Linked DNA regions of Bombyx mori. The protein of the gene in region 2 binds, or shares a complex with, the protein of the main gene of each other region. Links are inferred from orthologs where the notes say so. Each region holds a gene or a part of one and is shown on either strand. Other genes may lie near its edges.

Region 1 (7,773 bases), on a different chromosome or scaffold from region 2:
CGGGGGGCAGCTCGCCCCGCCTCCGTCCGCCTCCCCGCGTTTGTCTGACGTTTAGTGTTGTCTTTGACAGTTGTGACGCGCGCTTATCGATATCAAAAATTTACGCTAACGCTATTGTGTTATTTCATGGTGAATAAACTACGACTACTTCGCTTCCAACAAGTTCAGGTAGAAAAAAACCTACACTGATTCGGACTCTGATCTGTCGGTTATCTTTTCATCTGATAGTAATTGAATTGGAATTTAAAAAATATTTTTCTCTATTAGAAATAAATAAGTAATTACTTACCACATTTATTTTATAATTTGCAAAATGACCTAGTTACAATAAACCAAATTGACAGCTATTGACTAAATCGGTAGTTATTATCGACACCATAATTAACTAGGTCACAGCACTACCGCATTCCTCAGGACGGACATGAACTCGCGCGCCTACTGTAGAAGAAAATAGCTTCCAAATGAATAATTTTAACTTACGCTTCCCTTTCTTCTTTATCTCGTTTGATACGTTTCATTTCACGCAACTTCCAAGCTTCATATTCCAGTTCGTCATTTTCATCATCTGTACATACATCATTTATATTCCCTTCTTTTTGTTCTCCCTAAAAGTATGTTTAAAAGATTGAAATTGTGAAGAATAAAAACAGTGTGAAAAATATTTGTTTTATTCGTAATTTCGCATCACTATTAATCAACGTTTTTATAAGAAAATATAAATCATCTAAAACTTCAGCAGTCAACAGACTATTGATGCATAATATACTTTTTTTTTATTGCCCTTGTAGGCATACCAGCATACGGCCCCCTTGATGAGTATTTACCGTCGCCCATGGACTGGGCCAGCAATGTCAGGGGCAGAACCCCGGCTGCTGCCTACTGAACCACCTGCCTTCTCCTAATACTTTGATATTAAGTGAAGCATCAATACACCACATTTATATACGTTCATATGTAAACAACATGTTTAAGACTTTATATACAAGGTTATGTTAGAGGAAGTCTGAAAGTGGCACCTGTGACAGAGAAGCTGAGGAGTGCACGTTTGGGATGGTATGGACATGTGATGAGACGGAATGAAAATGAGGTTGTTATGAGAGTGTTAACTATGAATGTGGAAGGATTTAGAGGAAGAGGTAGACCTAAGAAGAAATGGATGGATTGTGTGAAAGACGATATGGGTAGGAGGGGAGTGAGCGAAGAAATGGTATATGATAGAAGAGTATGGAAGGAGAAAACATGTTGCGCCAACCCCAGGTGACTGGGAGAAGGGCAGGATAATGATGATGATGATACAAGGTTACCGACAATCGTTAGTAAAACAATTATTACATATTGATTTTGATTTCATAAAATTTATATTTTAAAACCTGATACTAAACCTGAGCACCCCGCTGTTCAGACCGAATCGTTTCCTCTACTAATTTAAGGGCTTCCCGTCGCCTTTCTTCTTTTTCTTTCCGAGCTTCAGCCTCTTCTCTTTTCTGCTGTTTCATTTTACGTTCTCTCTCTGCCACTGTCATACGCTCCGATGCTCTTACAAATACTGGTTTCACCCTTGGCCCTGGAAAAGGCCAACTATACATAAATTATGCAGTGTACTATGATGGCATAACCTGTGAAATGCAATATTGAAATTTCTTTACTTTTACTTACCTCCATTTAGAAGAAGCCCACTAAATATGAAGCTTAATTTGAAGGGATTACTTGACGCTTCTAAGTAATATTTACAAGTTTTATAAAATTTGAATACTAACCAGTATCTTCTTCACTGTCTGTGTACTCTGTGTCTGATGAGCCGCTTTCCTCTTTGTCACCTTCCAACATTTCTTCATCTTCATCTCTACCGAGTACTTCTTTTTCAGCTTCCCTACCATTTAATAAATTGATAATTTTATTACATTCAGACGTATTTAATATTTAAGTTCGTAATGCACCTTTTTAAAAAAACACTTGTGCTAACAATGTCTTCCTTTTTTATTGCATAGTGATTGCATAGTGAAGGAACTCAAAACACTTGGAACTCATATATACTACAATGTGAAAACCACTACATTTCAACTACAGCAATCTCCCTTTTGGCTGGGTGGAGAGTCCCATATACTCTTTCAGGAGTTATATTTGAAAGCATAATTCATTTAAAATTATCTATTTCACTGTATTATTGTGAATTTAAAAACTAATATGTTCTACATTTACCTGGCTGCAAGTTTTGCTCTTAGAGCCTGTCTGCGTCTTTCAATCTCTTCCTCATCCAGTTCATCTTCACTCTCGGAACTATCCCTCACGTCATGATCACTGATCTCAGATTCTGCTTCAGGTTCTGCATCAATAATTTCAGGCTTGTGTTCGGCTCTACGCGGCGGTGATTGTGCAATATTACGGAGACGTCGTAATCGAGGATCATCAACCTTAAAAGTGAAATTATACATTTCTACAATGAAGTGAAAAAGATGCAATTAACCTTGACACTTCTGTTATGAGGTACAATTTAAGATGAGCTGCAGAGAGCAGTCCATTTATAGTATTTCTCATTAGTGTTGCTCTTTATAAGTTACCTCTTTCTCAGAATCGCTATGATGTTCTTCTTTGCGGGTGATTATTTGAGGTAAAACTTGTTTCCGTTCAGGTCTTTGTTGCTCTATAAAATCTTCTTCATCTGATTCCTCAGATGATGACATTCCTTGTGCATAGTCAGGCTTTTTTCCAGATATGTATCGCTGAACTTTCACCTTTTGCATCGAGATCTCACCTGAAAATGAAGCCAATTTATGTAAAATAAAATGAAAACTTTGGAAATGCTTCAACTAAGCTGCATTGATTAATGTGAAAATTTCGAATCAATTAACTTTATTTTTATAGAATGGAAGTTTGAAAGCCAGTTTTTTTTTAAATTCATTTTAGGAATACATTATCGTACCTTTTTCATTTCTTATCGGAATTGCTCCCGCTGTACTCTGAATGCCTGTAGGTTGTGCTGGTAGGACATTCATCTTGCCAGTGTTTTCGTTTATAAAACAATGATAGTAGCTACTAGACCCCAATTATTAAATTTTCATTAAATATAAATTACTTGATTTCACAAAGCCTTGTTCAGTTTAAAAGATATTTTACCCATTATTATCCTAAATTACAGTAACGATACGTTTAGTATGATTAGTACTAGCCACAGATAAGATACAGAATTTGACATTACTTCAACAAATTTTTTTCAAACACGCAAATACCCTGACCAAAGGAACAAAGGTCATACAGGCTGTTTTGTTTTAAAACTAAAACCATATCTGTTGTATGAAACTGCTTTAAGCGAAGAGGAAAGTCATAACTTTTTCACATTTACTAAATAAGAAGTAAAGTAATTTGATAAAAAAAAAATCCTGTTGAAGACTTTTTGCAAATTTATTTGCAACAGTGACCACTGATGGTGTAGTGTGTTAATGAGGCTTGCATACATGGCTACAGGACAAGCTGTAGAACATTGTTTATACATAAACCTTTAAAGTATACTTCAGTGCGTTTCATTGACCTATATAGTAGGGACACGACATATTTTTCTATACGTACAATTGCTTATACAAATAACACCCATTTTGAAGGCACACACATAAACATATATCTATCTCGTTCTTACTCAGCACGAGTCAGCACTGTAACTCGCAGGAAAACAATATAACAGTATTTCAGTGCGTACATAAAATGAAACATGAATATACGTAAATGTCTAATGAGGCCGAAAATCCGTCATGCTTAGCGCACCAAATGTCATTGTCACGTCAGTTCAACCGGTTTTTTTTTAATGCTTTGAATGGTGGACGATCTCACAGCCCACCTGGTGCTAAGTGGTTACTGGAGCCCATGGACATCTATAACGTAAATGCGCCACCCACCTTGAGATATAAGTTCTAAGATCTCAGTATAGTTACAACGGCTGCCCCACCCTTCAAACCGAAACGCATTGTTGCTTCACGGCAGAAATAGGCAGGGCGATGGTGCCTACCCGCGCGGAGTCACAAGAGGTCCTACCACCAGGATTTTGGGTTATTGACTTTGATATCGATTTAATATGATTGCTTATATAACATTTCTTATTTTATCATGCTACCCCGCTTAAACCATACAAAAATAATAATTATAACATATTTAATAGGATCTCAAGAAAGTAGATACACCAAAACTAATAACTATATGATAATATATTTAAATTCATTATGGAGCACTCATCCTAAAAATCGGACACAATTTTTTCATATATCTTCTTCTTCTTCTTTATTTTTGGCTCTGGCACGTTTTGTGCATTAGCCAGCGTCAAGTAATAACGTTTTTATAATTCGCCGTTTTATTTATTTACAGTTTATAAATAATAAAAAACGAAGGAAACTTATCGCAACAAAACATAAATGATTTAGAACGAATTGAATTTACAAAAAAAATCAGAATAATTATATAACAGGGAAAATAAATCAAAATTATAGTTTAATGTTATTATTTAAAATAAACCTACTTAAAATACTATATACAAGGGGATTAAAATCTCGAAGAAGTAAAGAAATATTAGTAGGAAGGGGAATAGAGAGAGATACTAAAGAAGTATATAAGGAAGAATGATCATATAAAGAACAAGCAAAGAAAATATGATTCAGGTCACAATAACTCTCGCCACACTCACAGGCGGTACTAGTTACGATACCAAGTTTGTGCAAATGAACTGGAAGGCTGTTATGTCCCAGACGCATACGAATTATAGTAGAAGTGGCGGTTTTACCAAACGACAATTTGGCAAACCATGGCTTCCTGGGAACGGAAGACTGTATAGCATACAAGAAACGACCCTTAATCCGGCCGCTCTCTTCCCAACACATATTCCATGATTTGTGGAGGCATATGCCGGGCAAAGCAGCAAGATCATGGCCAAAATTCTTGTACGGGTATACGTCACCGGTCACAGTTGCACTGTTGGCCAAACTGTCAGCTTTCACATTTCCAGATATGCCACAGTGACTAGGTACCCAACAAAATGATACTAAATAGTTGTGTGATTGGCAGTGCAACAGCTTTCTCTTACATTCAAATATTACATGAAAAAAAGGGTTAAGTTTTAGTGAAAATTTTGCTAAGCTCTGTAATGCACTTAAGGAATCAGTAAATACAACGGTTTTTTTTAGTTTGAAAGACAGCACATATTCAAGAGCTTTTAATAGTCCAAAACATTCACCGGTAAAGACCGATGATTCCGGAGGTAATTTAATTTTCTGAACTATGTTGTACTGTTTGTGATACACTCCAACACCAACACACCCACTGGAGTGTTTAGATGCATCTGTATAAATTTGATGCCAGTTAGGCCATTTACTATTGACATTGCAATTAAAATTTTCATTGGCATTAAAATCAGATTTTTCAATGCCAAGAGAAAAGCAAATCACTGGAGAAAGTAAGAGAGAATCATAAGAAGCGCCAAATAAAGGAAGCACCTGAAAAGAATGAGTTGGGGCTTGTAATTGTTTGAATTTCAGGAAACTTTTTAACAGACAAGGTAAAGGTTTATGTGAAGAGGGTACTTTTTTAGAAAGAAACTCTAGTTTCGAAATGAGGGGATGATTATGGAACTGAACAATTCTAAAAATGAATCTATCGGACAGATATTGACGTCTTAAGTTTAAAGGAGGGTCACAACATTCTATTTGCAGAGCATTAACCGGACTCGATTTCATGGCACCAGAAACAATCCTCAAAGCCCTAGACTGTATGAGATCTAGTTTTCTAAAGCCAGCCACATTACCTGGGTCTAAGAAAAAGGTCCCAAAATCCAGTACACTTCTAATGACAGCATTATACACCAACCTCAGTGTAGCCGGGTGAGCACCCCACCAAACCCCACCGAGACATCTCAGCATGTTCAAGTTTCGCTCACATTTACTAACCACAAATTCGCAGTGTGGTTGACCCGTTAGTTTAGAATCAAGAATAGCTCCTAAGAACTTAACTTGATTCCTAATGGGTAATATATCCCCATCATATGTTATATTAAGTGAGCAAGGAGTACGGGATTTGGTGAAAAGTACAACAGTACTTTTTGAGGGAGACAGATCAAGGCCATTTGCATCCATCCAGATTTTTAGCAAAGATAAAGAGGAGGAAACATATCGTTCAGCAGTACTTACAGACATATCAGAGGCATAAATAACCAAGTCATCGGCATACTGTAATAAACTTGCTGAATCTCCGACTGAACCTTCTAGATCATATGTATAAATATTGTACAATAAAGGACTCAGAACAGACCCCTGTGGCAAACCTCTCCATACCAGCCTACTAGGCTTATAAGGGCCGCCAACATCTAAAATAATTTTCCTCTCCGAAAGAAGATTTACAATGGAATTAGTTAAAAAATCGGGAACCTTTAATTTATCTAATTTACTTTTTAGAATATGTAATAGAACGTTATCATAAGCCGAATTAATATCCAAAAAAGCAGCAACTACTGACTTTTTATCTGAGAAAGCATTACGAATATCCGTAACTAATATGCCTAAATTGTCCCCCACACTTTTACCTTTTCGAAATCCAAACTGAGTTTGGGACAGATATTCGTTATTTTCTATATACCATTCAAGCCGATTTTTAATTAAATGTTCAACAACTTTTGTGATCACCGATGACAAAACTATCGGACGATATGATTTGATATCAGATTGTACCTTAGACGGCTTTAAAAATGGCAATACTATTTGACTTCGCCATGACGGTGGAATGTCACCTGTCAGTAAAATTTTATTTATTAAATTTAAAAAGTAATTTAATCCTTTTTCGCCAAGGTGAGACAAAAAGGAATATGGAATCCCATCTTCCCCTGGAGCACTGTCTTTGACGTGATTTAATACACCTTTTAACTCCACTAACGTAAAAGTTAGATTTAGAGAAGGGGCATCAGAGTTATATTGCTTATAAGACAGGATAGGATCGTTGAGTGGAGCAGAAGGAGGAGCCAAACGATCAAGGAATTGATCTGCTAATTCTATAGGCAGCAACAATGCGTTAGAAGGATTGACAGCTGATCTAAATCTTTTGATATTTCGCCATATGACAGTAGCATGTGTTTCAGGTGATATAGTGCTACAAAATTTCCTCCACCCGTCAAATTTCTTTTTTTTAAATAGTTTTCTAACCTCTTTCATTATAGTCATTAATGCCTCGTAGTTTTTCATAGACATATTATTGCGATAATTACGCTCTGCTGCCTTGCGTTTCTGTATAGCATTGGTACATTCTTCATCCCACCACGGTGGAGATGACAACTTATTACTACGCGGCTTTTTCTTTGGAAAAACATTATCAGCCGATTCTAACAAAATAGCTTTGAAATAATTATTATCTATGACATTAACTTCTGAGCAATTATTAATTTTCTCTTCTATTAATAACGTGTATTGACTCCATTTAGAGTCTATGATTTTGTGTTTGAGGCGAGAGTTTTGAATACACATTGTATCCTTTTTTTTACAGGGAAATGAAATGATTATGGGATAGTGATCACTATTATAAGTGGAACACAAAGTAGACCAAGATAGAGAAGATGCTAACTGGGGAGTACAAATGGACAGGTCAATGGCACTAATTACTTCACCAGGCTTTGTGAGGCGAGTAGGAGAACCCGAGTTTAAAATGCACAGGCTATACATGTCTAAGATATCTAATAATTCATAACCATAACTATTAGATACTGAACTACCCCAAGATGTGTGATGAGAGTTGAAATCACCCAGAATCATGAAA
Region 2 (7,682 bases):
CCATTTCAGCAACTTCAAGACCATGTCTTAGTGCTCTAAGGGAGGATCGTGGGCCTCTCCCACATGCCAAGTAAACTTGCGGAGTATCTTCCCCAGCTAAATCTGCCACATGGCAAGCTGGAATTTTTATTAATCAATTATATATATATACTATTTTTTATTTTGAGGACTCCTCATTAAAACATTGAACGCCATGCGGCCCACTGGTGGGCCTAGCTTACTATACTATTTGAGCCAAGGCAAAATTAGAGAATCTAACTTTTATCAACTTGAGATTTTCATTATAAAATTTATATAATGCAATAATTTGCACGGAACATAGGACTTTAAACTGCAAATTTCTATTGATTTGAAAACCAAAGCGTTTGGGTTCGGCTTAATAAGAGTTTTGTTTGATAGCTGCAATGAGTGGCTTGTAGGAAAGCCTCCCGCGGCTCACGGGTGACCCTCGTGGCCCGAACGGTCAGTAAGATAAGGCGCACCAGTGATGCGTTCAATTGCTACTACTTACCTAATATTGGTGACAAAGAATCCATTTCATCTACCAGTACTAAATTCCTCAAAGGTCTTGGTGCAAAAAAGAATGTGTCGCCCTCTTCTAGAGGCATAGCAGAGCTAAATTCTGGTTCATCATCTTCATCACCCAAATGTGCTATCTGATATAAGTAGCTGAAATTTATGTGTATTTTAGTAATTTATCATTCCTAAATAGATGTACAGCACACATCATAAACTTAGTATGTACATCCTATATCAGTGTGCACTCACCCCATAACAAGGGAGGACCTTGGTTCAAGGATAAATTTCTATAGCATGAAGTAATTCTTAAGAGTACAAAATGAGTTTATACTCACTAGCACTTATGCAACGCAAATATATTTACAAAAGTATACTCACTGGTTGCCAAATTCACAAGCCACAAACAAAAATCCAGTTTTAAGAACACACATTGATGTTGCCACTGGTACAGTGTCAAAGTATTTCAGCTTTATTTCAGTGACCATATCTTCATCAGTTTCTATAGTTATTTTGAAAATATCACCCTGTTCAGTTTGTGCCAAAAAGAAAAACATGGACTTAGTTTTATGCGTGGCAGAACAAACAAAGATCATTCCTCTTTCTGGATCATCTAAATCATTTCTTCTGCGAGGTATAGGACACCTAATATCATGTTGATCACCCAAATTTTTGTATGTGAGATAATTTTCAGAGCATATAAGGACACCAGAAGGACCATCATTTCCTCCAGGCACAGTTATGAGAAAGTTTGCATGCTCTTCTAAAGGTTCAGAGTACTTTCTAACAACATGATTCAAACCAAGATCTAATTCGTAAAATGTTAAAGTCTGTTGAGTTTTTTGTGCAGCTTCGCCTGTGGAAGATAGTCATGATTGATTTTCAAAAGTAAAGATAAGACTTATTTGTGTGTTAATTTAAAAATCATACAGAGAGGATTTGACGTCACTGTCAATCAGAAACACGGACCTCAGAATAATCATAGTATGTTTTGTAATTAGATAGTATGTTTAAATTATCACAAAAAGTATATGAAATTCTAAGCAAAACATGACAAGACATTCAATTAACAAATTACTACTAACCGGTAGGATCTGAATCAGCTTCTTCATAATCAATTTCCAAACATGCAAACATGGGATTTTCAAATCCAACATCAACACCAACCATGTGATAAACTAGTGTGTTTGACTTGTGAGCTTCAAGTGGTGAAGATATTGTTAGTCGAGCTTCTGCATCTCTATTCAAAATGTATACCAATTTCTGTTTTTCAATTGCACCTAAAATTTAAATAAACTTTGAGTACTGATTTTGTAAATTTCATTTGAGCAAATAAATTGGAATGTAATGAATTTAATATTGTACCATTCAAAGTACAAAAAGCAGTTTTATAAGATCAGACAGTGAAAATTGTTTTTTTTTTTTTATTGTATGGTATTGTAAATGACAGTATTTCAGAGATAACCAAAAGTTAGTGATTGACCAAGCATCATTGGAATTAAGATATTTATATCTTTTTACTGATGTTTTCAAAACAGTAAACCTGTTTTTCGATTTTAGAGTGAGATAATCACCTTAAAAAAAGACATGTGCGATTTTTGGTCTCAAATCAATGCATCACATGTGTGGCATAACTAGAGTCCCATTATTACTTATCTTAATAATTATATTTTCCAGTTTATTGGTTCACATCACCATAAATGCCAATAAAAATTTACAGTATACATTAAAAGGTACAAACAAATTAAATTACAAAAGGTCCAATTGAAATTGTATGCACAAACAGTGCTTAAGTAAACTTATACTAGTTTCCCTTCAATAAACCAAAATCAGAGAAAACAAATCTTACACCCGTATCTTTAGTCGTTTACACGAGCTTGACTCGACTCAACCTCCAACGCGCGTTTTGGTATGCTTAGTCGTAAAAATAAACTCCACTCAAACGTCCTTGGAAAATTTTCCTAATCGGAGTGAAGTAAGCGAACTGTCAAGTCAAGGTACGTCGCGACGTACCATGAACGTTCCTCAAGACTGGTTTTCTATCAATTTCCAAATAGTATGTGGACCGCAAATGGAAATATATGATATTGTTGTGCAATGGCCTGGATCTGTGCATGATTCGCACATATTTTGATAATTTTTATTAATAAAGTAAATAGTTCGAGGTTAGACTCTTGTTTAGACTAGTGGTTAGATATTTGAAACTCCTTATTTACCTACATAAGAGTCATATTTTGCTTACTACCTAATAAATAAAGTCAAGCTTGATCAAATTTTAATCATTATTACCTCACTCGAGGACAGTTGATGAATATTGTAATGGTCGACTAAAAATACCAAACTCGAGTAAGTTTGGGAGGAATGCTCGAGCATCATCGGATGAGTTAAGAGGACTATTTGACGAAACGTCTAAAGATACGGGCATTAGAATTTAATACTCCACGTTTTGTACCACTGAATATCAGCAACTCTGGCAGATTTTCGAGACGAGAAGAAAGTCTTATGGCTTTGTAGCAGTGCTAAAGGTTAATTGTAATTTTTAGTTGCAGCATTCCAAAACTACTCTTTTGGAACCCAAAACTAAAATTGATTCAAGAGGTAGGTATTATGAAAAAGTCCATACCAATCATAACAGCTCTTCCTTTAGGATCAATTGATAGATATTGACCAGGAACTATTCTCCTACAGCCAGATTTACCAAATGTTTCTTGATGGACTTTCTCCAAAATGTTCTTAGTTGGGATGTACTCCAAAATGATGATACGTCCAGAATCAGAACCAACCACAATGTAATCTGCAGAAAATTCTATATTTTAATGTTGTGTTCTATTGTTCGTAAGTTCAGGGTTAGGTATAACTTTGGAGATTTAGGTTATTTTTGCGTTTATAATGTGTGCAATAATCTATCATGTTAAGCATGCTACAAAGTCAAGAGTCATAAAAGTTCACATTATCTGTTAGGATTAGTTTGTTCCATTGCGGTACATCCCAACATTGAGAAAATGCAAGGAGCGACGCTTTGGCCATATTTTGTGCATCTAGTTATCCCATGTTCTTTGTGTTATAAAAAACATGGAGCAAGATGATGCAGTGTTATTTTCGATCTTATATAATGTAAAAATATTGGATTTGAGAGGAAATTCTGGGATTAAGATAATTTAAAAGAGATAAGCTACACAGTTCAATGGACCACATGGTCACATGGCCAAAGTTTACTTACCTTTTGTTCCTCCGGTTAGACGAAAAGCCATAATAGACCGAACTACACCAAATATTTCAATTTTCATTAATGTGTGGACCTTTCCCGTGTTCGGATCTGGCCGTAACAATTCAAGTGTTTTGCCACGTGATATAATAATCTCCTGTTGCTTAGTTCCAGAGAAATTTCCATGTACGGCATGTGTTATGGCAGATGAACCTTGCAGTGTTAAATTGTAGAGATACATCGTGATCTTATTTTAACCTATCCCTGAAAATAAATCGGGTTAGGTTAGTTAATTTATCTTTTCAAATAATTAAGCAACTGAAACAGAGGTGTGGAATTAAAATGTAGGGCTCGTAACTGACGAAAGCAGAAAGGATTTTGTGCTTTCGAATGGGTGAGCTTTCTGTTATAGCACCGAAAAAACGACCACGATTAATATATAATTTATCGTGGAGATACCTAGTGCAAATACAAATTGAAATGCATCATAGTCTAGCAAAACGAGAGAATTAAAAGATTACCTTTAAATATTAGCAATTGATGGCCGCAATGCGGCTCGATGCAGTATTTAATTTTCACGGGTGAACCGGCACAAGCAGTTGCCGGTAAAATGGCGGATTCAGAGCACGCCATTGAGCTTCGTTTTCACGGACCAATCAAATGAGAGGATTTTGCATCATGGCGTCGAGTTTTATAGAGGAATGTTGCCATATAAGAAATATTTTAGTAGCTGTTTTCTGCCATCTGTTGTTGGGTAGTGAAACTTGTAGCACAGGCTTTCAACGAATGAGCAACGGCTATTTTTTGTCAATAGATGTCCATTGCAGTCCACATAACATGCAATGAGATATTTAAATAGACAATAAAAATAACTTTAATTTACCTTAATAGATAATAAAGCTTCAATGTTAGTTCATTAATAACAAAAGTTTTATTAATAATAAAATCAAAATTAATTTAGTTAAAATACAGTTATATTAAATGTATTTACTTAAATTATTCGGAATTACACGTATTAAGACACATCTAATCTCACTAGAGATTTGATAAGGATCTCTCTCTCAAATTCTTCCTAGTTACAGACATCGAGCTCACCGCTCACTTTGTGTTAAATTGTTACGTGAAAAAAGGGCCAAATCATAAAGTGAATGCAATGCAACGTGCTTCCAACGTAATTATTTCCGACTGATTTTGAAAGGTCGTCGGAGATATACAATGTCCTGACTAAGGCCTCGGTTCAGTAATCTCGGTAGAGTTCCTCGGTAGGGCGGCAGTAGACAAATCTCCCTATCCGTTCTGCTTTTTGATAGCTGAGCGAATACGCAATTATTTTTTTCTGTCTGCCCAGTGAGCGCCTGTCAGTCCAAAGGTGAGGCACCCTGCTGTCTTCTTGAGAATTGGCGAATAGGCTGTACATCTTCTAGAGTCCTTAAGCCTAATGGAAAATTGTATTGTTTTTCTGTAACTGTAACTGTACCTTTTCTGTACCTTTGGTCATATAAATATATAATTATGTATTTATTTAGGTACCGCCAGAGCGTTTTCTGAACGGAATTAAGGATAGATTTTATTGTGATTTGTACATCATGTACGAAGGTGGGCGAGGGAATCGATTTATCTTAACACCAAGTGGTCCGTTACTCCGATGATCAATCTATTTTAAAAAAAAAAACAAGTAGAATCGCTGCGTGCATAATGGTTTGCAAGGCCATAATTGTGCTATGTGTTGTCCCTGCATTATGTTTTGTATCTTTTATTTTATTAATGCCGTTTGGCAGACGAGCTCAAAACTCTACCTGCTGTTGAGGAATTACCGAGCAGACATCTCAACCTAGATCCCGTCATCCACATGAACATTATAAGCTGATCACCCAATCGCATAATATCTGTCGCACACCCATGTACATGCGGTTGGTTTGTGATAATTTTTTTACAGTATGTAATAATATTGGTACAGCCTTTTAATATGTATCGTAATTATTACAAGTAACGTGAATTTATAATGTTGGCAGATATTAGTACTAAATATTGGGATCTTTCATCGTGGGATTGGTTCGGGTCGAAAAATTAGTACCTGCCTTTACGAAGCAGCGCTTACTCACCGTCACTGATAATGTTTGTACGACGTTTCATAAATAAATTTGTGTATTTTTATTTCTTTGCAAAACAATATGTCTTTGACTGCCCTTCAATTGAACTGTTATTTCGGTGATATCGATATTGCGATCGGTAAACGTAATCGACATTTTTGAACAGTTTTCTTAAGTATCGGTCACGAATCTTAGACTTGAACATTATTTTTAATATCTCAAGAAACAAAATAGCTTATCTTATACCTTTAATACCTTTTAACGAGCAATTCTTGTATATTAATATATACGTATATAATCTGAATCTCGGAAACGGCTCCAACGATTTTCATAAAATTTAGTATACAGGGGATTTCGGGGGCGATAAATCGATCTAGCTACGATTTATTTTCAGAAAATGTTGTTTTATTCGTGTTTTCAATAATCAACTCTTCCCGACATCTATTGGCGAATAATAATAATTTTTTTTAATTGAGGGCAACTGACCGCTTTAAAGACAACAAGATGGCGTTATCAAAAAAAAAAACAGTCATCGTCTGGTAAAATTGTTAAGCTTGGTATGCGTTAGGCGGATACGTAATTTATTTATTTTACATTACAGGTATAAGGCTCGCTTAGTTTCAGGTCACGATCTCAGCGGATGATGTGCACGTGTGCCGGTTCGATCGTTCGCAGGAAAGAAAAAAATACAAATAAAAAATATTTCGCTTTATACGAACGTCTTGCACGCAATTTTATCATGATGATAAAATACGTGTTAAAAGGTGTTCTTAAGATGAAATATTTTAGGTTTATACTCGTTATTTTGGAAATAGAATATATTATGAATTGGTTATGTGTATTCTGTATGAAATATTTTAAATTTATTGCTGTCAATGACAAAAGCGTACTGATTATATTTAAATAATTGTTTTGTGTTTATCGATTCATAAATACTAAATACTATCAATTTAGTTTTCGTTAATGAGAATCTATGTACATATAGCGTGTAATTTGTGGCGGGAAACCCAATGTTTTTTTTAAGTCACTTTTTTCTAGATCTTAGATATATTATTTTTCAGAGCTTATATAATAGTGTTGGATATTGGAATACTAACTACATATTTTCATTTTATTGTTCCACACTGTACGTAAATCTGTTAATTCAATAGAACAAGGACGCTGAACCAAATTTGCTTGCATTAAAAATGTAGGATTACATGTATGTAGGTATATCCAATTTTAAATGTGTATTTTAATCTGAAAAAGTTGCGTGTACATTAAATCTTATATCTCTGGTGATACATTTTGTCGTTTTAATTAAGTAGGTGTCAGAAAAAGAAAATAATTCAGAGTGTTTTTTTAATTGCTTGAGTAAGGAGTTTAAAACACGCAAACAAGACACGGTTTGCATGTTAATGTCGTTATTTTATTACGAAACTATAAATCAAAGGTTTGGCTTCACACCAAACGAAGCGTACTCCAATTAAAAGTTCTGTGGACTCTATAAACCTTTCCGATAAATTATTTATTGGGTTTCGTGTACATATCGGGCCTAGCAGCTCGTGGAAGTTAGGATGTACTATAATATAAAATGATTTTATTATTGATTTTAGATCGGGATGACATTATTTGTATGTATTATCAAAGATTAGTGAAGATCGGTCTCGTTAAGTTTTGATTAATAATTAATTGTATAAAAACATCACATTATTAAAATTCCTCGGGCGCCATCTTTTGTTTCTTGTTGTTGTCGTTCTTTTGTTCCATCTTTTTCCCCGAAATACCAATAACAACTATAAAATGACATACGTCATAATCGGCTTAAGAATGCACAGGCAATAAATAAACGTTGTCGATTTAATCATTGTCATTATTTTTACATTACTGTT

The links. Proteins that work in one complex are often made in the same cells at the same time.
Region 1: splicing factor 3B subunit 3 (region 2) and microfibrillar-associated protein 1 share a complex: the UniProt entries of both Drosophila melanogaster proteins name them as parts of the spliceosome B complex. The link is inferred for Bombyx mori from reciprocal best matches to the Drosophila melanogaster genes Sf3b3 and Mfap1.

The regions. Positions count from the first base shown.
Region 1 is NC_085127.1:8,422,152-8,429,924, forward strand, and holds the start of microfibrillar-associated protein 1, read right to left. Parts: upstream 4,077-7,773; 5' UTR 2,994-4,076; coding exon 2,921-2,993; intron 2,753-2,920; coding exon 2,559-2,752; intron 2,412-2,558; coding exon 2,200-2,411; intron 1,871-2,199; coding exon 1,758-1,870; intron 1,565-1,757; coding exon 1,383-1,564; intron 606-1,382; coding exon 481-605; intron 1-480. UniProt on the Drosophila melanogaster protein: Required for pre-mRNA splicing.
Region 2 is NC_085117.1:14,813,949-14,821,630, forward strand, and holds the start of splicing factor 3B subunit 3, read right to left. Parts: upstream 4,404-7,682; 5' UTR 4,243-4,403; intron 3,986-4,242; 5' UTR 3,963-3,985; coding exon 3,737-3,962; intron 3,311-3,736; coding exon 3,140-3,310; intron 1,797-3,139; coding exon 1,602-1,796; intron 1,373-1,601; coding exon 898-1,372; intron 670-897; coding exon 512-669; intron 118-511; coding exon 1-117. UniProt on the Drosophila melanogaster protein: Involved in pre-mRNA splicing as a component of the splicing factor SF3B complex, a constituent of the spliceosome. SF3B complex is required for 'A' complex assembly formed by the stable binding of U2 snRNP to the branchpoint sequence (BPS) in pre-mRNA.